Linked DNA regions of Nothobranchius furzeri. The protein of the gene in region 1 purifies or fractionates together with the protein of each later gene. This does not show direct contact. Links are inferred from orthologs where the notes say so. Each region holds a gene or a part of one and is shown in the gene's direction. Other genes may lie near its edges. The genes, in order: pomk, ghitm and tmem59.

Region 1 (10,439 bases):
GTAGTCATGCTAATTACAAACATTTATAAGCTGATGAATCTCAAAGTACATGACTGGGGTGGTCGAAACACACTTCATTACTTTTAATTTAAATAGAAGTACAACTAGTTTACTCAAGGTCTGACTAACAACTTTCTAGCATTCTTTAAGAATAATATCAGAAATATCAGGGCAAGTTTTTCTACCCCATCTACTTCCTACCCCCATCCAACCCCTCCCTCAATCTTGGTCTGTCTTTAGTCCTGTAGATTTCCAGAACATGTGCCTCATTCAGAAACACATGAAACCAACCTCATGCCCTGCTGATTTCATTCCTACTACCTTAATCAGGATGGTTAACCAAATTGGCTCATGCATGTCATGCTGGGTGGCAATTTCTTGACCCACGACATGCAGAATCACTTCACAGAAACAAGTGTGTAAATGGTTTATTTTTAAATGAGGAGCTAAAGGAGGGACGGGAACCAAAGATGCTCAGTACTGGCAGCAGGATTCCAGGAGGAGGTTCTGAGGAGGGAGACAGAGTGAATAACCGGTGGAATAATGGAGATTTTATCTTGAGGCTAAGCTTACCGTTTCTTGGTAGCGGTGGAATGTACAGGGAGGGTTTTGGTCAGGTCCAGGTGAGCAGAGGATATCCAGAAGGTGAGAGAATTGATTTATCCAGAGATGGAGGAGCGGAGGTTGATGAGGGCAGGTGAGCGGCTGAGAGCGGGCAGCCAGGGGAGGAGGCAGTGTGGTCTGGAATGCAGGAGTCCAGGTTGGTTCTGGAGATGATGGAATGTGGAGAGAAACCTGAAGGAGAGCAGGGAAAGACATTCAGGGATTTCAGGCGGCAGGTTAACTGGAACGAGATACAGATACAGATACAGATACAGATACAGATACAGATACAGATACAGATACAGATACGAGGCAGGTTAGAGGCTAGAGCTATCCAAACAGAGAAATCATCCGGCGTGGTGAAGTGTCACACTGCTCCTTAAATTCCCTGGGCCTTGATGATGGGATCAGCTGCAGCTGGTAGCTCTCAGACACGCCCGCCTGTGGACAATGCTCAGCAGAAAACAGAGTTACAGGCAGGCAGCTCACCACGGACCATGACAATGCATTGTAGATTTTATTAATTTATCCCTACAATCTGGCTCTGTACCATCTGTTTTCAAACATGCAGTTATTGAACCAATGCTTAAAAAACCAAGTATGGACTCATCTCAGCCTAAAAATTACAGACCCATTTCTAAATTACCCTTTATCTCTAAAATATTGGAAAAGGTTGTGGCAGATCAACTGATTACTTTTCTGGAACTACACAACCATTTTGATAAATTCCAGTCTGGTTTTTGTAAAAAAGCATTCAATAGAAACAGCTTTGCTTAAAGTTTCCAGTGACATCATGATGAATGCAGACAACGGGGAGGTCACAGTGTTAGTATTGTTGGATCTTTCTGCAGCGTTTGACACTGTTGATCACAACACCTTAAGTAACAAACTTGGTGACTCAGTGGGGGTCTCTGGAACTGTTCTGGACTGGTTTAAATCGTACCTTTCTAACAGAAGTTACAGTGTCTGTATAAACCAAATTATGTCAGATTCTACTGATTTGTTCTGTGGGGTACCTCAAGGCTCTGTTTTGGGTCCACTGTTGTTTCTGCTGTACAGACACCCTGTTGGACAGAATCTTGATTCTTTTCATAATGTCTCTTATCACCTATATGCAGATGATATTCAGCTGTACTGTTCCTTTAAGGATTCTGAGTTCTATAAACTGTCTGAATTACTAGAGTGTCTTTCAGCTATCACCAGCTGGCTAGAAGATAACTTCCATCAGTTAAACTCTGAAAAGACTGAATGTCTGATCATTTCCCCTGAGAACATGGTTCCCCTGATTAGTCTAAAACGTAGTCATTTATCCTCTGCCGTCAAGACAAACTTAAGGAATTTGGGTGTTGTTTTTGACCAATGTCTCTTGAAGGTCACTCAAAAACTTTGGTCCGAAACTGTTTTTATCATTTAAGAAATATCTCCAAACTGTGAAGCTTGGTGTCAAAACATGAACTTGAAATGGTTATCCATGCCTTTATTTCCTCCTGTCTAGATTACTGGAACACACCTTTCACATGTTTTAACAAAAAAGCCCTTGACCGCCATCAGTTGGTCCAGAACTCTGCAGCGAGGCTCCTAACTGGAGCAAACAGAAGGGCAAACATCACTCCTTTTCTAATGTCTCTGCACTGGTTACCCGTTAACTTTAGAGTTCATTTTAGAATCCTGACTATAACTTTCAATGCTCTACGTGGTCAAGCTCCTCCTTATAACCCTTACTGCTAACCCTTACTGAACAGTTAAAGCCTTATGCTCCAACCCGAGCCCTCAGGTCCACACACCAGAACCTTCTACAAGTTCCAAAGTCCAGATCAAAAGTGGAGGTGATCACACCTTCCAGACTGTTGCATCCCGACTCTGGAATGATCTTCCTTTATCTTTACGCAGCGTTGACAGTCTGAACACTTTTAAAAAACAGCTGAAGACCCTTTTATTTAAAGCTGCTTTTAACTAAACCCTTTATTTCCTTATTTTTAACTCAGATTTTATTCTTTAATCTGTTTATGAAATTTTATAATTTTATGGCTTTATTTTTTCTGATGTTAATCTAATTCTGCTTTGAGATCATTTTGATTTTATGATGTTAATCTATTTATGATTTTATGACTTTGTTTTATTTTGTTTTGATCTATGTGAAGCACTTTGTGATTCTATGTCTGTGAGAAGTGCTATATAAATAAAATTTACTTACTTAATTTACTTACTAACATATGTGCGATCCAGCGCATAAGGCAAAGCGGATTTGAAAATAGCTCTTTTAGCCACATTGACTTGCATTCATTTTTTTTTTTGTTCTTCCGGGGACCCATGAGCCGACTGGAAAGAGAGGAGACTTAGGCTCCCCATAGTTGCTCACTCTGGATTTGGAGAACGAGGAGACCCACCCAATTTGGCGGCTACACATTTACGCTCGGGTGCAACTCATTTCTTATGTGGCTCTAGTTACTCAGGATTGTGGGAAAGGATATTATCTGTAGATCATTGAAATTGTTTGAGGATTATTTATCTAAGATATGTTTAGAGTTTGTCATTAGAATTATCCTCGTTCTTGATCTGTCCCTTTTTAATTATTACAAAATCATAATTAAAATATTTATTTTAAAATCTATTTTTGTTGCTTTACCCCATTCATGCTTCTTGTCCAAAGGTTATGAATCAGTCTTTCATCTCAATGCATAGGCCTACTGCTCTGAAAGCACTGATTAACTTCTGTTTTTTATTCGTTTTAAAATGTTAATCTAGAGAAATATTGCCTTGTCACATTGCCTTGTCACACTCTGTCTACCATAGAAAAATCTATCGTTTTAAAAAATATTTATACTTCTTAATACAGATGTTATTTTTCTCCTTCACCAAGCATCAGTAACAACTGACTTGGTAACTCTGATGTGAGTACCAGTGTTTCCTATCTATTTTTCTTTCTATAGACAATTTTCTGACTGAATAGTTAGCAGCAGGAACCATTTACACAATCCCAACAGAGTAATACATCACACATGACTGAACTGTCACTGTTTCAAGTGTTTCTTACAAATTGTTTGGAAAAATTTAATGTGCATATTTAGTGAGAAGTATGGTTACGGTTAGGCTAAATCCTTGATAATAACAGTTTTCTTCTCTTGACAGGATAAAACACAAAAGCCATCACATAGAAAAATTAAATGTATCAGTTTATGGTCTACATGACAAAGTGAAGTTTTTAACCTTTCTAATTCCTGCCCATGTAGATAGGACATGAAGGGGATTTATAGGCCAAACAGCATAAAAAGGTAACATTAAATAAAGTACAAGTCAAAAAGGTTTGGCACAATACAAGGTATTAAATCATACACTTCATAAAATAACAAAATGTCCAGCTGGGTTATGTTTATACTGCAATCGGTTCAATAACTGTATTAGATGCAGTCAGGAGAGGAGAGGCCCCTCTGAGGCATTTTGTTTACTGAGTAAAAACTAGTCAGGTCGCTCGTGTCTCAATGAGATTCACGTGTATAAATAAAGGTGAAAATTATTTAAGTTCGGAAGACGACCCATTTATGTCCCAGATTCCAGTCCAGTAGGTGACGGTAACACTGAAGTAGACTGCTTACAATCCGCACCAACGAAGAAGAAAACCGACGAAGAAGAAAGATGTCATGTAAAGTCTGCTCATGTAAGCTTTAATTTCATAAATTTATATTATAAAACATTTCTAGTCTCCACAATAGATGGAGACCCATGTTCAAGCTTGTTCTTAGGGCATAACGTTTATATATATATTTCTGCTGCAAAACAACCAGGTCTTAACAGATTTAGCTCCGGATGAAACGTTTTCTTTAGGATTTCTGGATCATAAATAAAGGTTTGTTCGATTAAAAACCCTAAATAGGTTCTACCCTGTTTTACTCTAATACGTTGGAGAGATTGGCTCCTTCGATCTCACGAAACGATGTCAAGACTCCGGGTAAAAATGTAGGATTAGATTAGATTAGATTAGAGGGGCTAAAATGTGGTCAGTGCATCAGAGCACACTGGTGCAGAGGAAAACGCTACAAACACATGACGATGCATTAGATTGCCCCCACCTGAAAAGGCTGTGCTGTGAAAGTGAGGATGCTGTAGGTAGAAGCTGCGTGCAGCACCAGAGGTCCAGTTCCTGAATCAGTAGAACGCTGAGTCTTTGCTGACATAACTTTCGAGTCTCTTATTCTCAGCGTGGTAAAAAAAATAAAAAATAAAAATACACAACTCAGCCTTAGTATCTGCATGCCAGAGATGATCAGCAGCTGAGCTGCAGTGCTGACGAGCTTCTTTCTTTTTTCTGAAAGTACATGCTGATAGTTTCTACAAGTTGAGTTAAAACCATTCCTGACCTTTGTAGCTTTATGTTTCCTTCTAACTCAGGGGTCCCTAAATGATGGACTGCAGTCTGAAGCCAGACCCAAATGAGGTTCTGTCTGGACCCAGATTACCTGGTGAATTGAATTGTTCTTACATGCACGCTCTTTTAACACTCACAGTTATTTCTCTAAAGCAGCATAACGATTTTATTCTTCACAGCGGTTGCTGAAGGCTGGCCCATGGTTTCCCTCTGCTCCCGGCTCTCAACCTCCGCAGAGTAAAGTCAACTGAAAGAAAGGTGATGAACACTACCATGACTGGGAATAAAACATTTTATTATTTATGCACCTGTCTGTCTGTGGTAGATCCTAAATCACACAATTTGTTGTTGAAATGGAAATGAACTCAAATGAAACATTTTATTTGGTTCTTTTATGAAACATTCATAATTTTAATTAATTAATAATCAAATCAATTAGTTGATGGTCATTAGAAGCAGCCTGAATCACTGACTGGATAACCTGGATTTTTTTAAAAAACTCACCTGAATATAAAACTCCAAAGAGTGCATGGCATAGACTTATTCTGTTCTTCACTTCTTGGTAAAATAACTATTTTACTTTTTATTCACATACAAAGTGTTTGAAATTGACATGTCAAATCTGCTGTTTGCTTTTATGAAAAAAAAATGCATGTAAATAAAAGTACTTTGCACTTGTATTTTTTTATATTTTATTTTTGTGCAGGTAAAATGTTAAATGTTTTTTCCACCTGCAGATTGTGCCTTCACAAACTAACACTTTCCATGTGAAGTAGATCACCATGGGTCAGCACAGCAGTGGTGTTTTCTCCCACAACGCCCCGGGACTCGCGCTGTGCCTCGCTGCTTTGCTTCTGTGTGCTGCAGTGATTTATCTGAGTCAGGACAAGCAGCAGCGACACACCCATGCAGGCTGTCTCCCTCAACATTTTAAACTGACTACCATGAGGAACTGTACTCCCTGGCTCCAGTGTTCACAGATACGTGCAGAAGTGCACAAGCTAAAGGTGATTGGCCAGGGAGCCGTTAAGAAGGTAGGTGGAGTTGTACTCGAGTATAAAGGCTATGGATGTTTTAGGATCTATCACAGCCACAGACAATATGTTACCTCAGAAAGCATTAGACAAAGTGTGAGCTATGACCGTGAACTTGTAATTTATATTAGCTAGCCTTTATTTTCCCTGTGGGATTGATAATGTAACGGAATCTGATTGAGAGACTCACCAGAGCCAACAGTCGGATAAGCTCATTTCTAATTCAAAAGCAGCCAGGGTGTCTATAATGGTGCTTTCACATCTGGTTCGGCACGGCCCAGCCCTGGTCAGGTATATTGTGTTCACATCTGGGTAATCTGTGTGGTTTTCGTTCTCAGCTGACCATTTTTTAAACCTGCTCTCTAGTGGTCCGCTTTGTGCTAAGCCCAACACACCCTCTACGGACTGATTGGCCAGCTGAAGTTCATGCCTATCTATAGCGGGAGCTTCTGACTGGCGGGTAGAATGAGCCCTCAGAGCCTTCCTGCATGTGCGATTCATTTTCAGTCTGCATGTGGTGGAGTAAACATCTTCTGTCACTGCTGCTGGGATCTTCTGCTCCAGCCTAGCCTGGCAAGCCAGACTAAATAAATGTATTATTTAGTCTGGCCATGCTCCATTGACGGCTCTCGGTTGTGGGGCGGGTTCTACCGTTGTCTTTCAAATGATCTCCGCATTCCACTGGACAGAGAATGTGGCATACTCTTGTTTCACTCTGTTGCATCATCCCACCCACCAGGCATACAGAGTGCCGTGATTGGCCCACAAAGCGGATAAAGCTCTGTGATTTGTTCACTAAGCAGATAGAGCGCTATGATTGGCCCACCATTATGGACCAATCACAGCTCTTTATGTGTTTGAAACCCCTCTAGAGAGCTGTGATTGGCTAGCCAGAGTCCTGTTAGGAGCTGCGGAGGTTCCAATGGAGCGTGCCTAGACCAAACTTTGCAAAGCAAGAATTTGGTCTAGTTCACTAGGCTAGCTCCAGCCAGGAGGACAGACTGTTGTGAGGAGCACTCAGTAAGAGAATAGGAAGCTGTGTGCTTCATTTCGGAGTCTCCAAAAGTAACACTGCTCACGGCCTCCTTTTGTTTACTAACAAAGGAAAACACCACAGACTTTTCCACACGTCTTTTGCCCCGCCCAAATGTTTGGAGACATCCGCCTTCCTGAGAATAATAAGCAAACAGAACCTGGCCGCGCAGGGGTGGGCCAATGCTACCAAGACCGGACCGCGCCAGTCCAGATGTCAAAATGCCATAAGACATCATAGCAGGGCTGCAGTCTGATCGCCTTCATTTCACGCAGCTTTGATGTAGCAATTCATTCTAAAGAAGTCCCTGTTATTGAGATGCACCTGTACATGGCCACAGCCCCTACAAGCTCATCATCTGACAAAGCTCACATGTTAAATTTATCCCATATCCTGTCTAGAGGTGTATATGTTATGAGCTCACCAACCCCCCCTTTTTTTCCTCCTCAGGTTTATCTTGCAGAGTGGACAGGTCACAAGGTGGCTCTGTCTAAGCTGGCCTCTCTGGATTACCTGGAAGACTTTCTTCATGGATTGTCAATGCTGCAGGCCTTGCAGGGCTCACTAGTTGTGCAGTTGGTGGGGTTTTGCCTCGAAGACTATTCTATTGTTACCCAGCACCACCCACATGGCTCACTGCTCAACTTAGAACATGTTTTCAGACAACAGCAGTACCAGCAGTACAACACGTGGTCCTTACGACTGAGACTAGCCACAGATTATGTCACCATCCTTCATTACCTTCACAACAGCCCAGCTGGGCGGCGAGTAATGTGTGACTCAAACAGCCTGGAGAAAACGCTCTCACAGTTCCTGCTAACGAATGACTTCCATGTGGTGGTGAACGACCTGGACGCGCTGCCCGAAGTCAACTGGTCCAAAGGTTTACTGGTAAAATGTGGCCATCGAGAGCTCACTGGGGACTTTGTTGCCCCAGAGCAGCTTTGGCCTGTCAGAAATGATGGGACGCTATTTTCAGATGATTCCATGCCTGCATATGATGAAAAGACCGATATCTGGAAAATTCCAGATGTGACACAGTTCATATTGGGAAGGGCACCCGAAGGAGAATTGGTTCGCTTTCACCTTTTTCAGATTCACAACGATTGCAAGAAGGAAGACCCTAAACTCCGTCCTTCAGCTCTTGATGTGTTGAAAGTGTACAGATCAGTTTACAGGGCCATGGTGCAAGACGCTTCTGGTGTTCGGGAGATGCTTTAGAGCAGGGTTATACAAACCTTTCAGTAGGAGGGCCAGATTCATCAAGGTAGAAGTTCTCATGGGCCACAAACATGATTATTTTTAGGGCTGTCAGTTGGCCGAAGGTTTTAATAGTTGTTAATCACATGAGTTTCATAGTTAACTTGTAACTTTGTGCACTGGTCACGGTGGAGCCTGGAGATGCGTGCACGGTCTGGTTGACAGTAACGCCTGTTTTACTCACAGAGCAGACATGCCTTCTTTTACACTTAAGAGTTTAAAACTTTCTCCCTCCTTTCATGTTGACATGCTCTAAGTAAGATGTAATATTTGTCTGCATGAATTAATGAATGTGTTAATGCAATAACATGTTAACTTTGACAGCCCTAATTTTTGTCATGAAAAAATGCAAACTAAAGTTTATTGTGATTTTTTTTATTTGCACTGCTCAAATTTTAACATCATTTTGATAAAAAAAACATGTTAAAATTGTTACTCTACTTCAGCAGCCTGCTGAGGAGACAAAATTGCACTATTGTAGAAGAAGTGGAGGGCCGCATATTCCAACAAGCCTTCTGTAGAGGGTAACACTGTCCAGAACCACTGACTTTTCTCTCTGTAAACAAATAAAACATCTTTTGAAAGGATCACACTTTGCTGTATTTTTATTTTACTTTTTGTAGGTTTTAAGAGTCAAAGAGAGGACAGGAGCAGAGCTGGTCAAGTAGCTTTCAATCTTCCTACAGACTGACCTGGTCTCTAATCCCCTCTTGTGGTCTGACCTAGCAACACAGGGCGGTTGGGTGGCACCAGACCTTGAGCAAGTGTCTGATGCTATAGTTCATTCGTGGGTCATTGTTAAGAAAGTTGTGCATGTTATTTTTGTGGAAACCATATCCTTGCAGCATCTGATGTATAAAAGGGCAGAGGAAGAGTGGGTATCCGCGTTTCCATCCTTGAATATGGACCAGTCGGTGCTGTTGCTTTAAATCCCTATCAGTCTCACCTCTTGGTAACATTTGTGGAGCACATTCTTCCAGGTTTGCCTGGATAAGATAACCAGCAACTACCACCACTGCATCCAGGTCAGTGTTTACTGGTAGCAAGTAGCCCAGGGCTGTAGCAGTGGTAGGTTACGGTGGGGTGTAAACAGCTGTTATCATGATGGCAAAATATTCTTTTAAGTAGGTAGAAGCAGCAACATTTTACAGTCTGATACTCAAAAGGTCTGTGGAGTAGTGAGTGTCTACATAAGTGCGCTTTTGTTAGTGTTGCATCAGCATCTATTTGCACAGACCCTGACAGATGCAGGAGGTAAAGAAACTTGGATTTGATTTTATTAGCTGTTTATGTAATTTTCCCTTCCCTGATGAATGCATTAGTGTAGAATATTTGGAATGTGCTAGTCGAAGACTAGCTCCCCTTTTAGTTCTTTGTTTTACGCGTTTTATGATTCATGGCATCCTACCAGACTCGATGGGAATTCTGCTTGTCCAAGTTATCAAGAACAAATCTGGGAAGGTGACCTGCTTGGATTATTATTATAGTGCATCTGCACTAGCCAGTATTTTATCCGAGGTTATAGAAAAAAAATCCTACTTGACAGGATCACTGTGTATATTATTTCCTTGGATAATCAGTTTGGCTTTAAGCTAAAACATGGTACTGTAGCGGTCACACTTTATAGCGTGACAACTGCAAATTAATTATGACCAATACGATGTGATGATTCCATATAAATATGAAATATCAATCTGATTGATCACTGAATGTTTAATCAGAAGATTAAAGTTACTTTTACTTGTTCAGGGACTATAAACACACTTCACATTAATTCAGACAGTCAGGTAAATAGTTAAAAAGGAATTTTTTAAAAATCTTTATTTCATTCAAAAAAAAATAACACAACAGATACTAAACAATATTCATGAAAACACAATATATTTGAATGAAAGGGAGCAGATGGAAGAAAAATCTTATTATTTCTGCCCCCTTTTTAAACTTAAATATCAATTTATATTTGTGCAGTCCCTCACCAGTTCTTTCAGTCCCGTAACTGTTCACTTTTGTTAATTATTATGTCCACATCAATTGTCCGTTGTCATATCCACTCAACACACGTGATTTAATGTGTAGACTGAACACTTTTAGAGTTCTTGACTCTTTCCATTCTCTGTCCAGGCAATTCCACAACTTCACACCATTC
Region 2 (10,103 bases), on another chromosome or scaffold:
AAGGATAAATTATGGTGCTCCAAACCCGGGGGCAACTCAGGATGCTGCAGGCGGCGATCAGCTGCTATTCAAACAGAAATAGGGCTGTGGCACGTGTTTAGAACATGTTGCGCTTTTCTGAAAGATTAATATTACCAGTAGTTTACTTTGAAGATAGCAGCAGCTTGATGCAGATCCCTGACTAATCTCTGGAGTTTAACGTAATCCTGCCACCTTTCTTGAGTCAACAATACTCATAAGAGTAATTGAAACACCCTTCACAGAAAAATTTGCTAAAGCATCAGCAGGACGTTGATGCCTCATTTAAAGGTGTGGTTTACTTGTTGAACATATACACGTGCCTTGTAAGTCATACTCAGGGGAGAAGAAGCTCAGATGCACCTGTTTCAGGAAGTAAAAGTCAGCTGGAGGCGAAAGTAGCATCAGACGATCTTAGAGTCTTATTTCCTGATGTTCTGACATATCTCTGCTCTACTTGGCTAATAGCAATGCAACTTTCCCACTCACTGTGTTTGCTTTTCAACATTGATGTTTTATCTCCACAAATAAGTAAAGCCTGAAGGAGTTCTGCTGTGTGGTGGGGTTGCTAATGCTAACGGTTAGCTTCTACTAGCCGAGACAATCTGTTTCCTGGACGCTAAACCAACAACAGCCTTCCTCCTCCTAAGTCAATATGAGTGAGTCCATGAATATTAAGTGACAGTGTGACGTAGATCTGTCAGGGTTTTTCTAATCCTAGCGTTTCATTGTCGGTTTTCTATCAGAATCATGTTCAGCCTCCATGAAAAACTCAAAGTGACCAATGGTAATCAGAAATAATATTGAAAACAACTTTTTTGTGAACTACGCCTTTAACAAACACCTCATGCTTATCATTTTTCGGTGTTAGACACGAAAACTGCATGTAGTCCTGATAAATGACCATTATTTTCTTACTTCGAGTGAACCTGAATGTGTGAAAGTTTCTACATCCTGTTGCGACCTCTGTCCCGGCCAGTTGTGAGCAAAAGAGCGCGTCCGAGTGACTGCAGTCTAAACAGAAGGAACGGTTGAGTGCTGCCTGTGAAATTCTCTGAGTGGGAACAGGAAGTTTGCAGCTCCAGTGGAGCACTGTTGATGTGGAATGGCGTGTAATGAAAAGGTGAACAGCCCATGTACTGAGACGTGTTTTCATTGGAAGGAAAATCCAACGCTGTCTTGCACCACCCTGCTGCATGCCACAACCACAAAGGTCCCTTTACATGGGAGTGACTCCGGACCCTTCTGGTGGTGGTGGGGGGGCTGAGGTGGCAGAACATAAACTGCTGGGTCATTCACACGTCACACTGTTGGATGTTACAGCTCAACTAGAACAGGTCTGATGGTCAAATGCATGAAATGAAGAAAATTGTAAATGCAATCTAATTGTACTCTCTAAAGTTACTTTACCTGAACTAATTGGTAAAAGAACACTATGAGAAATATGACACAAAAAAGGTTATTATTGATTAAAATCTGTAAACACTGGTCCCGCATCTGCACCATCCTTCATTTCTGATTTGAAGACTGAAAAAAAGGTATTCCACATCAACAATTCATCAAGTAAATAAGCAGTCAGATGTTTTGTCATTTATATAGTACATTAGATGTACACCAATTATCCCAGCTTATTGCATCTGCTGTGTTAAAAAGAGAAGAAAAAAATACACACAAGCTGACATTGGTGAATATTCACAAACCACTGAGGCATGTGACACGTTTGATCATCTGCTCATAACAAAACCGCTGGTGCACCATTTATCATCTTGTTACAAATGGTTTTAATAGCTGCCTCTTATTTAATGTAAATCTTATGTGAAGACAAATTAAACAGCAGCCGCCAAAGCCTGGTTTGATGGTGACTGTTCTCCAAACATAAATATCTGTGAGAGGATAAATAAGTAGGAGAAATGGGTGTAATTGTTTTTGTTAGAAGCAGGAAAATACAAAGTACACATTTTTATTTATTGTAATCACTTGTGTGTGTAATCACATGGTCGGAGCAAATGATCAGCAAATAAAACCCATCAGAGTAATTTACTATAATAACTAAAATGAAAGATTTAATGGTCTGACTTTTGATTTGATTGGCCTAATGAAAATAGTAGCATCTAAGGATCTTTTGAATTATTTACCATGTTTCTTGTTTTAGAACCATTTTTACAAACTGACAGTTTTGTACTTTTATGTAATTTGTTTAAATACAGCTTCCAATTTAAAAAGAATGCTTATTTTTGTGAAGTCAGATAAATGTAATTCAAAACTTGGGGTAAAGGAAGAATAAAATAAAACAAAATAATCCTGCACGTACTGAATTTAGTCAGATAAATATTTGACAGATAATCTGAGATAGTTAAAAGTTGTGTTTCATAACAGCTTGTACAATGACATATGAAATGAACCAACCATTATGAATTCGTCCTTCTTTTCATCCACTTGTTCAGCCTGTCCTGAAAGTGCGACTCCGGAGAGAGATCCCAAACTTTCCCAATGTTCTTTCAGTTATGTGGCCAAAAACAATTATTACCCCAAAACGCATCTGTACTTCTTTCATTTGACTAAATGAACAGGAAAAGCGAAATCATGTTACGCAGGTTGAAGGTCAATCTTTCCAGTGAACTGAAGTCTGTCCAAGTGTCTCAGCTCACTGAATCGATCAGGACATTTTGGACCAGAGGAGCGGAGCTGGAGGCAGGAGGCGCGCCCCTCACGGAGAGCTGAGAGACAACAAACAACTGCAGACAAAATTAGTTTGAAACACAAACATAATTTAAATACATTATCAGGGTAAAACCAAGATGTTGCCCTAAATAACCAAAGAGATGTAGCGATTTTAGAGCAAATTTAATGGTTAAAATCCCTGTTGTGATCTCAACAATAGACCTTGACCCCCATCTAGTGGACAGATGCACAATCTGCATCATGAAAGTGGAATGGAAATCTTACAGGAATCTCGTGTTCATCAGGCGTTTGTCCGTTTGTTGTTTGGTAGGGTGTGTGTAGATCAACTCAATAAATAACAAACAATAATAAAAAATGCTGATCAGCTGCAGAACTTTGTTTAGCAAATGCTCATTGCATCACGTTACGCCACTAAACACAACAGAAAACAATTCCTGGCTTTAAGACTGTATAGTGCAACTCACAGCAAAAGCAAAACTGTCCTTTTTCAGAAATGTAAAAAAAAAAGAAAAAAAAGACCTAATAATATTTGTTTCTGTTCTTTTCTACACTATTGTATGGTTTCCATTATTCCATCCATCAATTTCTCTTTCATGTTGATTTAAACTTCTGTAAGCAAAAAATAAAATGTTTATCCTATGGAGGTAATAAAGCATATTGGAGTCTGAATAATATAATATAAAATATAATATAATATAATATAATATAATATAATATAATATAATATAATATAATATATAATATAATATAATATAATATAATATAATATAATATAATATAATATAATATAATATAATATAATATAATATGTTAGCTAACACATTTTTTGAAAAGGATGTAACACTAATTATTGTTCATTCAATATAATCACCTATAGACTTGTGAGACTTGGTTAAAAATATAAAGTGTTTTTCTTTAAAAAAAATGTATGCATGTGCTGCTGTTTTTGGTTCTTAGCAGTTTACATCGCTCAACAATCTGCTTGCACTAGATATACATAGATATTTGTATCTATGTTTGAACTACAATTCCCACCATATCTGTCGCTTAATCATGACGCATCTGCTAGAATTTTCCGGAAGGTGAGTTGCAAAACGATTGCGTCATTAACTTGCGCTCTTGTAGTAGAGAGGTGACTGGAAGAGTGTTGCTCTTACACTTCGGTGAGTATCGTTTCTTATTAAAGTCTTGTTGGGATCATTGACATGTTTTTTATTACCTGTTTTGTCTGATTGCTGTGATCTGTGAGGACGTCAGAGTCGTAACTAATCCATTACGTCATTAACTGTTGCTACGAACTTTAGCTCAGGGTAAATAAGCTAATCTGCACTGGCTTGTTTTATTAAAATGTAAATATTGCATATTTGTTGGTTGTTTAGTGCCTTTCACCTAACGAGATACCTGTTCATAATGAAAACACCGCAGTTGAGGAGGAGGATTACCAGTCTAATTATTTCCCTGGCTTCCTGTTTATTTTCCTGCAGACAGACCAGAACAGCACCGAACATGCTAGTGGCGAGGCTGACATGTCTCAGGACGCTCCCGCTCCTCGGGCTCCGCTCTGCTCTGTCTCAGGGCTCTTCAGCCCTCAGAGCTCCCACCCTCAAGGCCTGTCCAACGCTGATCACACCCCAGCAGGTAAAGTTATATTACCACACCTATTTCTGCTGACCATGGTGGCTCTTTAATCAGAACAAAAATGATTATATTTATTTAATTTTCATCTGAATCTTGTTTAACCAAGAATGTCACACAATGTCATTACACTACTTTGTGTTGCTGTGGTTTTATATACTTCCAGGCTCTCCTGAACTCATACTTAGGCACTTTAGAACTATAATCTGTAAGGATTGAGTGGTTAGTTTATCGGACCAAAACCCTAACAAGTGATTGCTTAGCTTTAGGAACATGAAAGTTTGTGATTCTGCACACTTTACAGATTGATGTTGGGATTAGGGTTGGGCAATGGGACGAATTATTCGACCATCGCCCCATCCTAGTTGGGAGTTTGAATTTGACATAGAAAACACAACAGAATAGCTTACTCTTTCTTCCTATATTTGCATCTTTAATTCTGTGCATCAAAAATAATAACTGTGTCTTTCAGCTCTGAGACTACTCCCAATACAGGACTAATTATTAGCAACCATTTCAGAGCTGATAAAGCCGAGAACCAGCTCTATATCTGCTCTGAGACGGTACAGAACTGAGGTAGATCCCAGACTAGGAGCCGTACTGACCCTCGTCACTAGATTATTCTACATCTTTACCACTAGATCAAACTTAGTAGTTCTTCCTGGTTGTTTCTAACTAAATTCCAGCTCTAAGTCACCATTGGGCATTTCTTCTACTTTCTGTAGGGCTTCGCCTCCAAAGCCAGGTTTGGTTTCCGCCGTGTGAAGACCGCCAGAGAGCAACTGAAAGAAGCAGCTTTTGAACCTGCAACAGATACAGCCATCAAAAGTAGATGCTTTAATTAAGCCTTCTTACATAGCTGTTTCCCATTATTCTTCCATTGCTTGTTAAATAACAACCAGCACTTTAAACAGATCAACTTTCAAAGAATGTAGGAGTGTTAGATGTGTAGAAGATCGTAAACTTAGGAAATGTTCCAGTGCTGTGGATAATATTGTGGCATTATGGAAAATGTATAAAAACAACTGTAAAATCTGCTTTTGTTGCTAGTTGACAGCATGGGAAGAATGATTCTGGCTGGAGGTGCAGCATTGGGCCTTGGAGCTTTGTGCTACTATGGACTCGGCATGTCTAATGAAATTGGTGCCGTTGAGAAATCGATGTGAGCGTCAGAGCTTAATCTTTACTCTTGCAGCTCCACATTCATACAAAAGGTTTTCCACATCCTCTAAAGATTAATCTCTTCCTGTGCAGGATCTGGCCTCAGTATGTGAAGGACAGGATCCACTCCACCTACATGTACTTTGCAGGCAGCGTTGGACTGACTGCTCTGTCGGCTGTAGCTGTGAGCAGAACACCGGTGCTCATGGGGTTGATGATGAGAGGATCCTGGCTGGTGAGCTTTGCTGCTTTGGTTCATTTTAAAGGAGTCTAAATATTTGTAGGAGCGTAGATGCTTAGGGAAAACACATTTTTTTCAGATGGGTTATTTCACATGAACTTTCCTGATTTATTCCAGGCCATTGGAGCAACTTTTGCAGCAATGATTGGAGCAGGAATGTTGGTTCGGTCCATCTCATACGAGCACAGCCCGGTGCCAAAACATCTCGCTTGGATGCTTCATGCAGGTTTGATTGTGATTCAGTGTCTGAAACATTTGTTGGCATAGTGCTGGGGCAGCAGTCGCTCAGAAGGTAGAGCATGTTAACCAGTAACTGTAGGGTTGTGGGATCGATCCTAGCTCCCTCCAGGGAATTCTGCTGTTGTGCCCTTGGCATGGGCGGTACCAGGATTTTTTACCTGCAGTTTCTGTACAGTTTCTTGTTCAGTGTTTGGGGTTGCTGCGCTCCATCTGCGTGGTGGAGGGGGGCAGTCTTATGGGGGATGTCCTCCCAGTAGAGTGACCAGATCCAAACTTGCCAAATGTAGTGCAGAGACAATGTGTAGTTTTTACAAGCAATCTCTGGATGTATCCATCAAAATGTTGTTGAAAATAAATGAAATGATGCTCAGTTGTTGAAAATATTGGCGGCGTGAGAGGGGGATTCTTTGTGAATGAATTAATACCGGAACATTTTTGGTGAATAATTCAGGGAGGCTGCGGGAACAAGAAGTAAAATAGTTTACAGATTTTAAACAGTTTCCAGTCCTAAATGGAAGAATTAACAGGTGTGAAAGTTTTCACCTACAGTTTATCCACAGAATCAGGATTACATCCTGTTTCCTTCTATGGAAGCTCGTGAGGACAAAACACATTTACAGATTTCTAACAAAACTTTCACCATTCATAAACAGTGTTTTACACATTTACCTCTTCACTCGTTATCAGTGATGACGGAGTCTGATGTGCTTGTTATTTTGCTGGAGGCCTGCTCTCAGGGATTTTTGACCCTAATGGCCATCCATTGGTAAGGTCTTACTCGAACACAAAAATACCGCTTGCTTGCAATGATTTAGGTATGTACCGCCCCCTATCGCCACAGAAAACACACATTGTCACTTTAAGGCACAACATGAAATTCCAATGCCACAAAATGAAGTAAAGACACAAGTAAAAACTTTTATTCTGCTCTCAACATCACTGTTAAAATTACATACTATTATTATTATTATTATTATTATTATTATTATTATTATTATTATTATATATTTCATGTCTGTTTGAATTAAACTTGAACAAGCAAACATCAAAAGCTTTGTAACTATTTTACAGTTCCCCTCGTTGCCACTGTTATGATTTAGTTACCTTAAAAACTCATAAATTAGAGAACAAAAATTGTTTTTATGGAAACGTGTTTAATGTAATGTAATATGTCAGCGGACAAGTTTCTGTTGAAATATATTTAAATAAAAAATGCTCTTCAGCAGCTCCTCTTTCACCATTTCAATGATTATCCCTGTTTAGCTTGTTCCCATTAACTCTTGCTGCTGGCTTAAAACTGTATGGCTGTGCAGCTTCAGTATTTGGCATAAATTTATGTTCATATATTCACAATCTGGAGCTAATTGTTGCTGCTGCAAATCCATTTTTTGGGAACTTTTTTTCTTCTGCAACTTCTGGTTTCCAGCAAGAGGCGCTGTTTTCAGATGGATGAAGAAACCATTTCTTCATTTAGAAACAAAGTAGTATTTATTCTAAAATGACAACAAACCTCTTATACTAAATATTTAAGAACGAGAAAAAAACATTTAGTCCTTTCAGCATTTTTGTGATGTGCTTTAAAAGGGCTTAGCTTGAAACCGCAGCACCTCCAACGGTGTTATAATTGTTTGGTTTCAGCACGAATCTGTCTAATTACTGGGAAACCTGCTTTTGTTTTGACCAACATATTTTGTGACTCAGATTTTCCGCACCGTTTCATACTAGAGCCACTAGAGGGCAGTAATGTAAAGGATCACAGAAAACATTTTTCAGAAGTATGGTCTTGTGAATCTACACAGGTAACACTTGTTACCAAATCAGTTTTGTTGTTTGTGATCATAGATAGTGATACATTTGATATAGTTTTTATAGTTTTGTTTTTGTCATTTCAGAAATTTTATTAACACTTTTTTTATTCTGTACAGTTGTTATATTACTGTTTTTTACCCTATCTGCCTTATTGTATCTGCAAATATCTTGTCTGCTCAGTGCTTGATATAAAAGGGCTGTAAAAATTATATTATTATTATTATTATTATCATCATTATTCTTAATTTTTTTTCTTGATTCTTCCATCAGGTGTGATGGGTGCGGTCATTGCTCCACTGACTCTCCTGGGAGGACCTCTGATGATAAGGGCTGCCTGGTACACAGCAGGCATTGTGGGAGGCCTTTCTACAGTGGCCATGTGTGCGCCAAGTGAAAAGTTCCTTAACATGGGAGGACCATTGGCTGTCGGCTTTGGAGTAGTGTTTGCTTCCTCTATTGGTTAGTTAAGTTACATTTTGTTCTTAAATAGTATTACAGGTGAGGATTATCACTACAGGATCCTTACGCCCGGAACACACCAAACGCAGAAGCGTAATGAAGCGCAGTGGAACGACGAGCGGTTCTAATCGGCGCCCTTGTTAACCTACGGTCTCGGTCACATCAGCTGCGAAGCGCCACGAAGGCCCGCGCCGTGCAGCAATCGTTTCGGCATGAGCTCTTTTTTCGTGAGCTGTCAGTGAGCCCCGTCAATTTTGGCAGGAAGTCAAACCAAAGCAGAAGAGGCTGGCTGGTATATTTGACAAAATAAAAGAAAAAATTCAAAATAAAACACTGATTGATAAATGTGATCATTTTTGTGTATTTAAACAGACTATAGAGATGAAAATGAACAAGCACACACACACTCCTGCAGAGAAACGCAGCATTTCCATAATTTTAAAGGCAGTTTTTACAGCAAAAGATGGATTTCAATGTAAACTACCACAAACACTAGTTACTGTATTTACTTAACCATTTAGAATGTAACTGGTCTACAAAACAGCAGCAGGATCAGCGCAGGTTCTGATATCAACAAGCAGGGCACAAACTGGTTACACACACTCACACACACATGCACGCGCACACGGCAAAGGCACGGGGGTGGGGGCATTGGAAAACAGTAGGCGTAAGCGGAAGCGCTCGTTGAAAATTCTCTCCTGATGTGAACAGAGGAGGGGCGGCGAGCGCACGAATTTCATGAGCGATCCACTTCACGGTGCTTCTCAGCTGGTGTGTTCCAGGCGTTAGGATTCAGGATAAAGATGACAATTTCCTGAAAATGGAACATTTCTGCAGTGATAACCCTCAGTGAGATTGACTAATACATTGACTTATTTTCTTAGGCTTTTAAATCTGTTTTGACAATCTGAGAAACTTTGAAGTGAGAATATCCTAAATAATATATAATTACATACTAAATAAATAGTATATCATCACAGTGGAAAGAGAAACAACAGAATTTCCTCATGAAACATTCTTATGTCATGAATAAAAATCACACAGGCAGCATCTTAGAGTACGCTACACTGTGTAACACTGCTGTCTGTCTGTCGCTTCATATAGTTTCATTTAGGTAACATTATAACGTAGATGCCTCTGTTCCTGTACACAAGCAGAGATTGAGTTGTTTTTGTAGAACGTGTGTTGTAAACTCCTCTCCAGAGACAAATTTGTAAAATCCAGTATGAAGATTGTCTTTTGTTTTGGACAAACATTTCTCCGATATCAACCATCTTTTAGCCACGATAATCATTTTATTACACTCATCTGAGCCTCAGTGCGGTCTTTTCTTTCACCCTTCAGGGTCGATGTTCCTTCCACCCACCTCAGCATTCGGAGCAGGCCTCTACTCCGTCGCCATCTATGGAGGTCTAGTTCTGTTTAGCATGTTCCTCCTCTATGATACACAGAAGGTCATAAAGAAGGCTGAGACACACCCGATGTATGGCGTGCAGAAATTTGACCCCATCAATGCGTAAGTATAATGTTATGTTTTCTTCTGTAGCGAGTTGTTTGCTATTCTGCGTTATGATGGGATGTGTGGATTCGCCCTACAGCTGCATGGGCATTTACATGGACACCCTGAACATCTTCGTGAGGCTGGTGATGATTCTGGCTGGTGGAGGCGGCAGCAAAAGGAAGTAAACACGAGGATGACTTCTTCTCCAGGTTCTATGGTCCACAGAGTGGAACGTTCATCCCAGTCAGCACACACTGATGTTATCTTTTAGAGACAAGTCTAATGTGACTGGTAGAAAACACACACGCCTGAGTCAGGAAGTTGATGTACTTTGATAAGACTGGAACTGAGCTTTTG
Region 3 (10,259 bases), on another chromosome or scaffold:
GAACTGATGCTCACAGAGGATTCACTGCCTCTTATCTGGGAGGTAAAGTAACTTAAATGTGATTCATTTCCAAACAGGGAAAGAAAAAAAACACTTGGACTGTTTTATAAAGAGCTAATTGGCTATTAATAATTCTACATATCCCGTGGGGACTGTAGGTTTAGGATAGTCACCAACTGCTTGCTATGTTTGCCGTCCAAATCCCAGCAAAATTTGATCTTGCCAAAAGCAAATCTTTAACATTCATCTAAGCAAACAACTCTTCTCCCTTTCCTTCTTACGCTGCTCATGAAATGACTGAGCTGTCTTCTTCCCAGTGGTGCCTGTAAATGTTAGCTGCACAAGATCAGAGTTTACCATTCTGATCCCTCAACAGTCCTTACCTCAGCTGGACCGGGAAAGCATCTACCTGGGCAACCCAACCTGCACAGCCCAGTTAACCGCCACCTCATACAAAATACTAGCACAGTTTGTCAACTGTGGCACAGCCAGCCAGGTACCTAGCTTTCTTTATCATGATTTTAAAGACAAATATCTACATTCTTTAATTAATGGCATATTGATTCCTTACAGAAACACCGGAACATTACCATGCTTGTGAACAAGCTCTACATAGACTTCTCCGATGGGAAGCAGCAGAACGTTCAGGAGTATAAGGTGCAGTGCGATGCACTACGCAAGATAGCCTCGGTATCGATCATTTCTGCAGAGGAGCGTCGCCTGGAGGAGCAGGCCCAGCAGACGGATGGAGACAGCAGCAGTTCTGCTGCAGAGCCACAAACCGAGCCTCATGACTTGAGTGATATTGTCTTCATCAGCATCTGTGTTCTAGCTGTCATTCTCATGGTGATAGCTATTGTGTGGTTAGTGCTTCTTTAGTGATTTAAAAAATAATATTAAAGGAGACATGTGACTTTATTTCTCAAGAAATATTATTTTATGGTCACGTTAAGTGATTTTAGCAGTTTTATTTTTGACATTTTCAGTACCTTCCAGAATGAGTCGTTTCAGGGCTCTGTCACTTAAAAAAATAACAAGTTAGAGCTGGTCTGCCCACCTCTCTACCACTCAGGCTGCTATAAGCTGAGAAGTTCTGATTCCCGGGAGGGGTTCGGAGTAGAGCCGCTGCTCCTCCGGCAGCAGATCTCTCCTGAAGTGAGAGATGGTTGTATGCTTATTTGCCAATTTTTGACATCACAAACAGCCTTTTCAAACTGTTTTAGTCGTATAATTCCTAAAACCAAACACTGACAGAAAATGAATGAATGGGTTTTTTCACATTTGGAGTGTTTATAGAGGCAGTAGAGACCCACATGGCAGCAGAAAATTATGCAAAAGTCGAGTTTTGCTAAGTATATCCTTTTCAAAACTTCTATAAAGTTCATTGTTCTGTTGATTATCCTACACTGCTCCCAGATCAGTTGTAGCCAGGCTTGGCTGTTTGGTAAAATAATGCCAATATTTCAAACTATTCATTACTTTTTTAAACTTAATACAGATTTTTTATGTGGCTGTAATAGCATTTCATTTATGCCATGACTTTGATTAAAGCCTGTTTTAATTATGATATAAACTGTGATCATTTGTAAATGACATGTATTTGATATAGGGCCTTCTAGAGTCTTGGAACCCCCCAAGACACTTTACAACAGAATCAGTCATTCATCCATTCACACCCCTGGCACACTTACAGAGGTGAGTCTGCCGTACACAGGCGCCACCAGTCCCTCTGAGCACCACCAGCAGGCAAGGTGGGTTAAGTGTTGCTCAAGAACACAGCGACAGATTGAGCGAGGCTCGAACCTGCAACCTTCCCATTCCGGGGCGAGCACTTAACTCCTGTGCCACCGTTGCCCATTTGGACTTGTGCTTAACTTGAAACTTGACTACTATACAGTAAATCTGTTAGAAATTAAAATCAGCTACAAAAGACAAAGTTTTTTCTGGTCATCATTTCTATTAATTAACAATTTATCTGCAGTAAAAAAAGTGTAAACATTCAATTGTTTTGCATTTTCTTCAGCAAAGACAAACAAGATGATATAAGCTTCATGAAAATGTGAATGCATTAAAAACTTAGATTTCACTGTCTGAGGCTCTGTTTCTTATTTTTTGTATTTAGATACAAGTTGTTCAACTGATATTTTACTGTCCTTCACTTCACTTCTGACATCAGGGTTGTGTTTGAATGCAAACACCAGCGCTCTAACCGTCCGCCTGTATGAACTGCTGACTAACCGCCGGCTCTGGTGAAAAACCTCTCTCTCCATGTTGTCTATAAGACCAGAATCCTCCTGTGTGTCAGACAGAAACACAAACAAGAGAAGACTGTTACAATTTTTAGGAGAAAATCAAGAGATCAGAGTAAAACAAAAGGAGTTCAACTATGACTACAAACTTAACCAAGAGGCCTTTTCTCACCTTGACCTCTAGTGCATTAGACAGCATTCTTCGTGCGTTACTCCTGAGTCCCTCAGATTGTTTGTCAGAACGTACTTCAATAGATGGCTTATTGGAGTTCTCCTCAATAAAAGTCCTCCAGTCATTGTAAACCTTTGCTGCCAGTGAGCTCACCTCAGGATCAAGATGCTTTCGCATTTTGTTGACAGTTAGACCTGAGGGGAAAGATATTTTCAACAAGGACCTTTTTCACACTTGCATAGCTTTTGTAACCTTCTATAACCAACCAGTGGACATCAGCACAGCATAAAGGAAACAAGGTTTTCCTGTTTTGTACCTATTTTAGTGCTCTTTAGCACCTCTCTGGATGGGATCTTCTTGCTGAGCTCTGTCAGGGCACTCAGCAGGTTTTCCTTTCTCTGTTCTGGCAGCTCCAGCGTTGACTTGTAACGCATGATGTCCTCAATCACCACCACTCTCTTACATAAACACCAGAGAAAGCTACTAAGTAAACATATCTATCAGGAACTCAATTCACATAACATCGATTTGCTCACCCGTAGGGATTCAATTGTAGTTTGTTTGTAAATCTTTTCGTCGCTTTTCCATTGTTTGGGTATTTCACCTTTAGGAAGCCGAACTACAAACTTGTCCATCTTCAGAAAACAAAACTGCAGCTTGAATTTGAAGTTAAAACAATCTATTTTCCGACCTTCTGAGCTAACTAGTGACCTTCTGAGCTAACTGAGTCTAAGCTAACAGATGCTAGCAGTTGCCAGGTTAAATGTTACCGCTCCAGACCCACCCACGTGAAAAATAAAGATATTGAACCATTTCTATCTCAAAATAGGAACGATTTTTAATCCATTGTGTATAAATGCCAGTAGGTGTGTAGCGGAGCGTAAAGGCATCTGAAAGTAAAATACTTCCGGTAGTTTCTTGCAGTAGTGATGCTGCCTTCAAGTACAGTGAGGAATTGCTTAACTGACGGTTAGGGCAATTGAAACCTGTTTGTTTCAAACATGATATAAAACACGTAATGAACATCCAATTCTAGTGTTTATCTGTGAACTTTATAATCTTAGTAAAAATCAGTCAATGAAACGATGTTGTTTGTTGCATGCAAAAAGGACCAAAAATAAGATGTGACTCAAGAAAACATAAAATCTGATATAAGGCTACTTCTTTATAGATTCGAGTTTTATCATGAAACATTTAGTTTTCTATACCAAATATTAGCCATATAATTTAAGTCAAATGTCATAATTTTTGAAAATATATAAAAAAAACTATTTGGGAGTCATGAATAACATTTATCGCAAGTCTCGCGAGAACACGAACCGATTAGGGTAGATGAGGAAGAAGACGGAGAGTGTTGTTTGTTTGGGTTTTCAGCCAAAATGGGAACGGTGTCTCTTTATGTTTATTTTCTGGGACTTTTTGCTGTCTCCGTGTGCGCTTTTGCGTCTTCAGACGTTTTTGACAGCGTTTTGGGGAACACAGCATCTTGCCATAAGTCATGTGGAATGACATATAGTTTGCACACGTATCCACGGGTGAGTATTCATTTTGCTCGGGAGTTGTTTCGGCTAGCGCTAGCTTGCTAACGTTTGGCGAAAATGGCCATTTTAAAATGTTTGTTCTGTCTTTTGATGGTTTGTTGTCTGCTGTATAAATTTGTTGTTTAGGCAATAATCAAAAGTGCGTCATGTGTCGTCGATCTTTCGTTTGTTTTACAGGAGGAGGAACTCTATGCCTGCCAGAGGGGCTGTCGACTTTTCTCCATTTGTCAGTTTGTTCGTGACAGCGAAGATTTGAATCAGACTAAATCCGAATGTGAATCAAGTAAGACACAAACTGAGCCTTTGCTTGTTTAAATCTGTTTCTACACAGCCTTTAGGCCTCTAAGACTAGCCTTGTAATCATTAACAATGAAGCAGTAAATGTTTGTTTGCTGGCAACCCTAACACCAGTTTCAGACCTAAAACACCTCCTCTTATAATTTTATTGTCTGTGGTCCTGTTTTACCAGCTGTTTTTTTCTCAAACCTCTGCAGCTTGCAAGGAAGCATACATCCAGACTGATGAACAGTATGCATGCATCATGGGATGTCATAATCAGCTTCCATTTGCTGAGCAGCGGGTTGAACAGGTACACTGATCTACTGGACAGATTTGTTTCGAAGGGACAGTGTGCACAGTATTTAATTTGTTTCTACAGTTGGAGGCCATGATGCCCCGGATTCATCTACTTTTCCCACTGACTCTGGTTAGAGGGTTTTGGGATGATGTAATGAGTCAGGCCCACAGCTTCATCACTTCCTCCTGGACCTTCTACCTACAGGCTGATGATGGAAAAGTTGTCATTTTCCAGGTATTTTAGACACGAGCTTGATGATCTGCTTTAACTTTATTTGTAAACAACACGGTTAACTCTGTTATTCAACAAATATTTTTAATTCTGACCCTCTATTTCTCGTATTTCACAGACTGAACCACAAGTGGAGTTCTTTTCCCAGCTTGAATTGAACAAAGACATTAAGGAGGAGCCACAGAAAAGCTGTATGCATTTCATAATCCTTAATCTCTCTGGCCTTTTTTGTTGTCATAATATTAATCACTACACCCCCATTCCCTTTGCCTTGCATGGAAGAAAGTATGCTTAGGTTTCTTACAAGTTTTTTGTTTCTTATCTTCAAGTTGCTGATCTAAGCAATCCTATTTACAAAGAATACCATCGCACTTTAATCCAAGAGAGGGACAGAGATATGTCTGGTGATCGCAGCTATGATGATGGATCTAACCTCTTCAGCTGTCTGTCCAGGTTTGTTTGTTTTTATATCTGTTGTTGGGAGCTGATTATCTGGACAGAGCAAGAGTTTTATTAGCACCAAGGTTCTTGCCTCTTTGAAGCTTAGAGTTTGCACTTTTCTCATCAGGAACCCTTGGCTACCAGGGTGGATCCTGACATCAACGTTGTTCCTGTCTGTGTTGGCCCTGATCTGGATCTGCTGTGCCACAGTGGCCACTGCTGTGGATCAGTATGTACCTGCTGAGGTAAAGCCTGAGAAGTTCTTTCCAACATCTCTTTAGAACTAAGATCTAATCTAGGGGGAAAAAACATCTTGCCTAGATCCTGGAAGTTTTATATCAATTTTATTTTTGAACTGAAAATTTTTTTAATTGTTCTCCTTTTAGAAACTGAGCATCTACGGTGACAAAGACTATATGAAAGAACAGAAACTGATTCCTTACCCATCCTCCTCTCTGATCGTCATCTCCTCCAAAGGGACAGAGGAAGAGGCGGGACCACTTCCATCCAAGGTCAACTTGGGCCAGTCTGACATCTAGAATCCAAAGATGAACTCCAGAAGCAATTTCCACCTTTAGGAATAATCTTCACCTGATTTTTATCCTCAAAATGAAGACCCAAACTGCTTGTGGTATCAGCAGAACTTGCAGAACATTTTGTATCAACTGAACTTTTTGACGCATTTGAAACTAGGGTGATTAATGGGTATAACGGAGGCATTACAGACTAATCAGGGTAGTACAATAAAAAGGTTTCAGGGCTTTTCTTTAATTTTTGCTGTGTAGGTGTCGTTTATTGAATGTTTATTTGAACTCTTTGTGACTTGAAGTGATGCAAGTGTCACCCTTAACCTACAGCTTTTTGATGAATTAGTTTGTGCTAACTCTGCAGACTTTTCCCATTTGTTCTCATGTTTTTATTGCAGTGATGTTCCAATAACATTCTACAGTAAAATCTATGATGAGACAAAAAGGCTTTTATGCTTCAGTTTATTCCCTTAAAGAAGTGCAATTCATGAAAACTGTTTGAGGTGGATTTTTTTGTTGCTGTATGTTAAAGTTCTTTACAAGTACCGCAACATGGCAAGAAAATTATTTAAAAAGCACATTTTAGTTTTGTCTGTGGTTTAAATTCACTGAAGCTTCTGTGTGAACCTGCAGCAAAGTAAACAAAGGTCTAACTTTTTCAACGTGTTCTGTGGAGCATGCAAATCTCTTCTGACCAATTATTTATACTTTCACAAATATCCTGCTGACTCTGCAGCCAGCTGTTCATGCACGGCTGGAGCGAATGACTTTGGCTTTTTGTCACTTTTTTCACAATGAAGTTGTGATGGAATGTGTTTGTGAAATGGAGTTACACTACCTGCACACAGCAGAGCAAAGCAGGTCTGACTACAGTCCATAAAAACAACTCATTCGTTCTGTCAGAAACTTCCATTTGTTCCCATTTAACTTATAATAATGTATTGATTGCTACTTCTGTCAGAAACCACACAAGTAATTAATTATAACTATTTCTCACTTGGGTAGTCTTTCTGCCACTATGTAAAGAATGTAGTTTTTCCAGAGTTATAATTTTCCTTCAGGTAGATTCCCAATAATTGGATTTTAAGGGGAACTGCACTGATGTCACCTATAAAAGCCCGTGGAAAGTGCTTGCTGAAAGCAGCTGTGTTTAGCTGAAATAAAACTGCCAAACCAAAAAAATAAAATAAAAAAAGTCACCGCCCAGATTTAACTAAGCAAATAGGTTTGAGCCTCCTATTGGATAATTTCTGCATGGGCTGCAACAAGTTATTTAACCCTAACCGGTACAATCAGTTGTTTTTCATTTATTAAACAACCATGAAAGGCATCTGGTGGTCGTGAAAAATATGTTAGTCTGAGACGGGTCAGATCATTGATATGTAGAGAAAACATCAGAGACGCAGAAGCGACTACAACTGGGTTAAGAACTGTCCAACACATTAATAAAAACTGGTCTGATGAGTCCAGATGGACCCTGTTCCAGAGTGATGAGTGCATCAGGGTAAGAAGAGAGGCAGATGAAGTGATGCACCCATCATGCCTAATGCCTACTGTACAAGCCTGTGGGGGCAGTGTTATGATCTGGGCTTGCTGCAGTTGGTCAGGTCTAGGTTCAGCAACAGGATGTGCTCCAAGAATGAGGTCGACGGACCACCAGAATATACTGAATGACCAGGTTATTCCATCTTTCCTGATGACACGGGCAATGCCAGGATTCATTGGGCTCAGATAGTGAAAGAGGGGTTAGAAAGCATGAGATCATTTTCACACATGGATCGACCACCAGAGTCCAGACCTTAACCCCAATGAGAATCTTTGGGATGTGCTGGAGAAGGCTTTGTGCAGCGGTCAGACTCTACCATCATTAATGCAAAATGTTGGTGAAACATGAATGCAACTCAGGATGGAAATAAATCTTGTGACGTTGCAGAAGCTTATTATAACAATGGCACAGAGAATGTGTGACTAGTAATCAAAGCTAGAGGTGGTTCCAATAAATATTAGTGTGTTTTATGGCCGAGCAGCTTATAATGCTTTCAGCAGCTTGAGTAAGACAGCTGCACTCAAGACAACTTTGGGCAACATGAAGAATAAAACAACGTGGACACATGAAGTGATACATTAAGGTCAGCAGTTCTTTGCAGACTATCGCTTCATGGTTAAAGTTGCTACTGAATATGTCCAGAAGGGTTGTGGCGGTGTGTATTTTTATGAGGACCCAAGCGTTATAAAGCAGGAAGACCCAAGAGGACATTTTGTCCACTTTTACTGTTCCAAGTCTTTGTGGATGTTCAGCTATTTATTTGGGTGAGTTTCCAAACTGTAGAAAGGAAGACGTTCAAAATGCAACAATTTATTTACAGAATAAACATGTTTAACAAAAAACAGTTTTAGAATTTCTGAACGTTAAAGTATAACAGGATACTTCTGGTTTCTCTCGCATCGTTCTGTCACCCTCATAGTGCTTGGGTATGGCCACATTTTTAATAGCTGCTCAACAAGTCTAAGTCCTCCTCTGTAAAACCCGATGAGATTGAACGCTTGCTAGGGGGACTGTGATGTGATGTGCCATCCTTGCTTGACTTTCCCTTCCTTTTGTTGACATTACAACAGGAAGACGGGACTTGGTGGTTTCTTGCAGAAGGAACCGGCGTCTCCTTCGTGAAATCGTTTGTTACAGGTTTGCAGAAATGGAGTTTCTCTGCGTTGGACTCTGTCAATTGTTCACCGGTCAGTGGCGCTGTGTTCATCGCATCTCTGATGAACCTCTGTCTGCCAACTACAGGGAAAAATAAACTAATCATTTAGTGTGTGGAGATAAATGGTCTTTAAATTACCAAGCAACTTACAAAAACCAAGTGCAGATGCCCGCAATTCTTCAACTCTCTTCTGCTTTGGCACTTGTAAGCCACTTGTTTCCCACTGATTTACAACCTGCAAATAAATCATTTTTTATCAGTTTTGTGTTGTTCTTGTAGCACACTGTGCTCATTTATGTCTGAAATTATTTACCTGCTCTGCCCAACCTTCAGTTTTACATCCAGAGTGATCAAATGTCTCCAGGGGTCGGTCAGAATGAATGAGCCCCAACAGGTTCCACACAGTCGTCCTCAATCCTGCGTCAAGCTGGTTGTGTAAAATTAACAAAGCTGTCAGAGAAATAATAATAATTACATAAGCTCACATGCTAAAAGCAAATCATTTCATCTTACCTTCATATTGGTTGCGGATGCATCAAGCTTTAAAAGCTTTGGGAAGCATTTGAGATACCGGAGAGCCCGCTCTGAAATGGGATTGTCTGTATGAAGAAAAACAAAAGTCCTTTGTATTGGTAGTAGAATTTGTGTCAACAACCACATGAAAAACTACTAACAGGAAATATCCAGGAGCTGGAGACAGTCCAGTTTCTTCTGCATCATCCGTAAGGGCAAGGTCAGTCTTTGCAGGGCAACGTCAGACAGATGGTTACCACCAAGAAACAGCTGGATCAGGCTGCTGAGGAGGAAAAGCAGCTATTAATAACGTACCACATATATCTCCTCTTTTGTGCGTTCATGCTGTGTTTTTGTCTGTAATCCATTTTTTAGTTATTTTCTTACACAGTTTAGTAAAAACTACTTAACATGTTTCAGCTAGTAGCTCTAGCTATCCTCGGAGATCGCCAGTGCTGGCGGCGTCACTTCCTTTTATCCGCGGGCAGCAGAGGACAGTGTCGCCCTCTACTGCCCGCATCCTCCTTGCTGATGTAAAGAATGAGTCATTTACATCTTATTTATGAACCATAAAATATGAGATTCCATAGAATTATGAAATATCAATCTGATGGAACTTTGACTATTTTAACCAGAAGATCGGAACTTTTTATTGCAGGGATTAAGCGACACTTCGTATTAACTCCAAGGAAAGAGAGAGTCAGGTTTAAAATAGTTAAGAAATTTATTTCTACACAATTTAAATAAGACTAACCGCTGTACACTCTGTGTACTGATGGACTAAGGTGGAGTGAGACGTGATGAATGATGGTGTGTGTGTGTGTGGAATGTTATTATCAGAACCAGCGGATCCGGAGAAGCAGTTAGTTCTGAGTGGGAGTGAATGTTTCGCTCTAAACTTTAGTAGGAGATTTAGAACACACATGAAACGCCATCTGTCGGTCTACATACCCAGGGGAAGCCTCCGTTCAGATCCAGATTGCCGAGGTCCTCGTGGACCCTCTTTGGTACCGAAGCCGGTAAAAAAGCAGCGGTGCCGACCAGTCTAGTCTTGGAATGCTTCCAGGTCACGACAGGTTATCACTGGCGTCTCCGAGACCCTGAAGGGGTCGTGAGGTTCAGCTTTTATTCTGAAGGAATCGTTGCGGTCAGGTGTAACTTGCAACAGATTTTATCCAGCTTGTCTGAGGTTCTTTTTGGCTGAAGAAGAAGCCCGGATGGCCTGTCCGAGACTTCTCTAGAACGCTTGAACTCAAGTAAAGGTGGCGTGGAATAGTTTTTATAATTGTCATATTTTGGTTTACTG

What was found.
Region 2: the proteins of pomk (region 1) and ghitm purify together in Homo sapiens (affinity purification with mass spectrometry; 3 studies listed by BioGRID and IntAct, counting the BioPlex papers as one, with this or other methods). This does not show direct contact. The link is inferred for Nothobranchius furzeri from reciprocal best matches to the Homo sapiens genes POMK and GHITM.
Region 3: the proteins of pomk (region 1) and tmem59 purify together in Homo sapiens (affinity purification with mass spectrometry; 3 studies listed by BioGRID and IntAct, with this or other methods). This does not show direct contact. The link is inferred for Nothobranchius furzeri from reciprocal best matches to the Homo sapiens genes POMK and TMEM59.

What each region holds. Positions count from the first base shown.
Region 1 is NC_091746.1:36,264,180-36,274,618, reverse strand, and holds pomk (protein O-mannose kinase), read left to right. Parts: upstream 1-4,164; 5' UTR 4,165-4,258; intron 4,259-4,989; 5' UTR 4,990-5,060; intron 5,061-5,145; 5' UTR 5,146-5,224; intron 5,225-5,703; exon of another isoform or gene 5,704-5,742; 5' UTR 5,743-5,748; coding exon 5,749-6,000; intron 6,001-7,483; coding exon 7,484-8,254; 3' UTR 8,255-8,471; downstream 8,472-10,439. UniProt on the Homo sapiens protein: Protein O-mannose kinase that specifically mediates phosphorylation at the 6-position of an O-mannose of the trisaccharide (N-acetylgalactosamine (GalNAc)-beta-1,3-N-acetylglucosamine (GlcNAc)-beta-1,4-mannose) to generate phosphorylated O-mannosyl trisaccharide (N-acetylgalactosamine-beta-1,3-N-acetylglucosamine-beta-1,4-(phosphate-6-)mannose).
Region 2 is NC_091756.1:41,667,988-41,678,090, forward strand, and holds the start of ghitm (growth hormone-inducible transmembrane protein), read left to right. Parts: upstream 1-3,755; 5' UTR 3,756-3,863; intron 3,864-4,184; 5' UTR 4,185-4,206; coding exon 4,207-4,338; intron 4,339-5,060; coding exon 5,061-5,163; intron 5,164-5,385; coding exon 5,386-5,497; intron 5,498-5,589; coding exon 5,590-5,731; intron 5,732-5,854; coding exon 5,855-5,963; intron 5,964-8,056; coding exon 8,057-8,245; intron 8,246-9,589; coding exon 9,590-9,761; intron 9,762-9,843; coding exon 9,844-9,931; 3' UTR 9,932-10,103. UniProt on the Homo sapiens protein: Plays an important role in maintenance of mitochondrial morphology and in mediating either calcium or potassium/proton antiport. Mediates proton-dependent calcium efflux from mitochondrion.
Region 3 is NC_091751.1:44,168,769-44,179,027, reverse strand, and holds tmem59 (transmembrane protein 59), read left to right. Parts: upstream 1-3,731; 5' UTR 3,732-3,800; coding exon 3,801-3,956; intron 3,957-4,139; coding exon 4,140-4,245; intron 4,246-4,456; coding exon 4,457-4,551; intron 4,552-4,620; coding exon 4,621-4,773; intron 4,774-4,888; coding exon 4,889-4,961; intron 4,962-5,099; coding exon 5,100-5,223; intron 5,224-5,338; coding exon 5,339-5,456; intron 5,457-5,597; coding exon 5,598-5,750; 3' UTR 5,751-6,186; downstream 6,187-10,259. Other genes in the region: cdcp2 (CUB domain-containing protein 2), read left to right, coding at 1-42, 318-496, 574-879; tceanc2 (transcription elongation factor A N-terminal and central domain-containing protein 2), read right to left, coding at 2,106-2,294, 2,422-2,615, 2,738-2,879, 2,958-3,056; lrrc42 (leucine-rich repeat-containing protein 42), read right to left, coding at 8,225-8,520, 8,591-8,675, 8,754-8,867, 8,954-9,039, 9,115-9,236.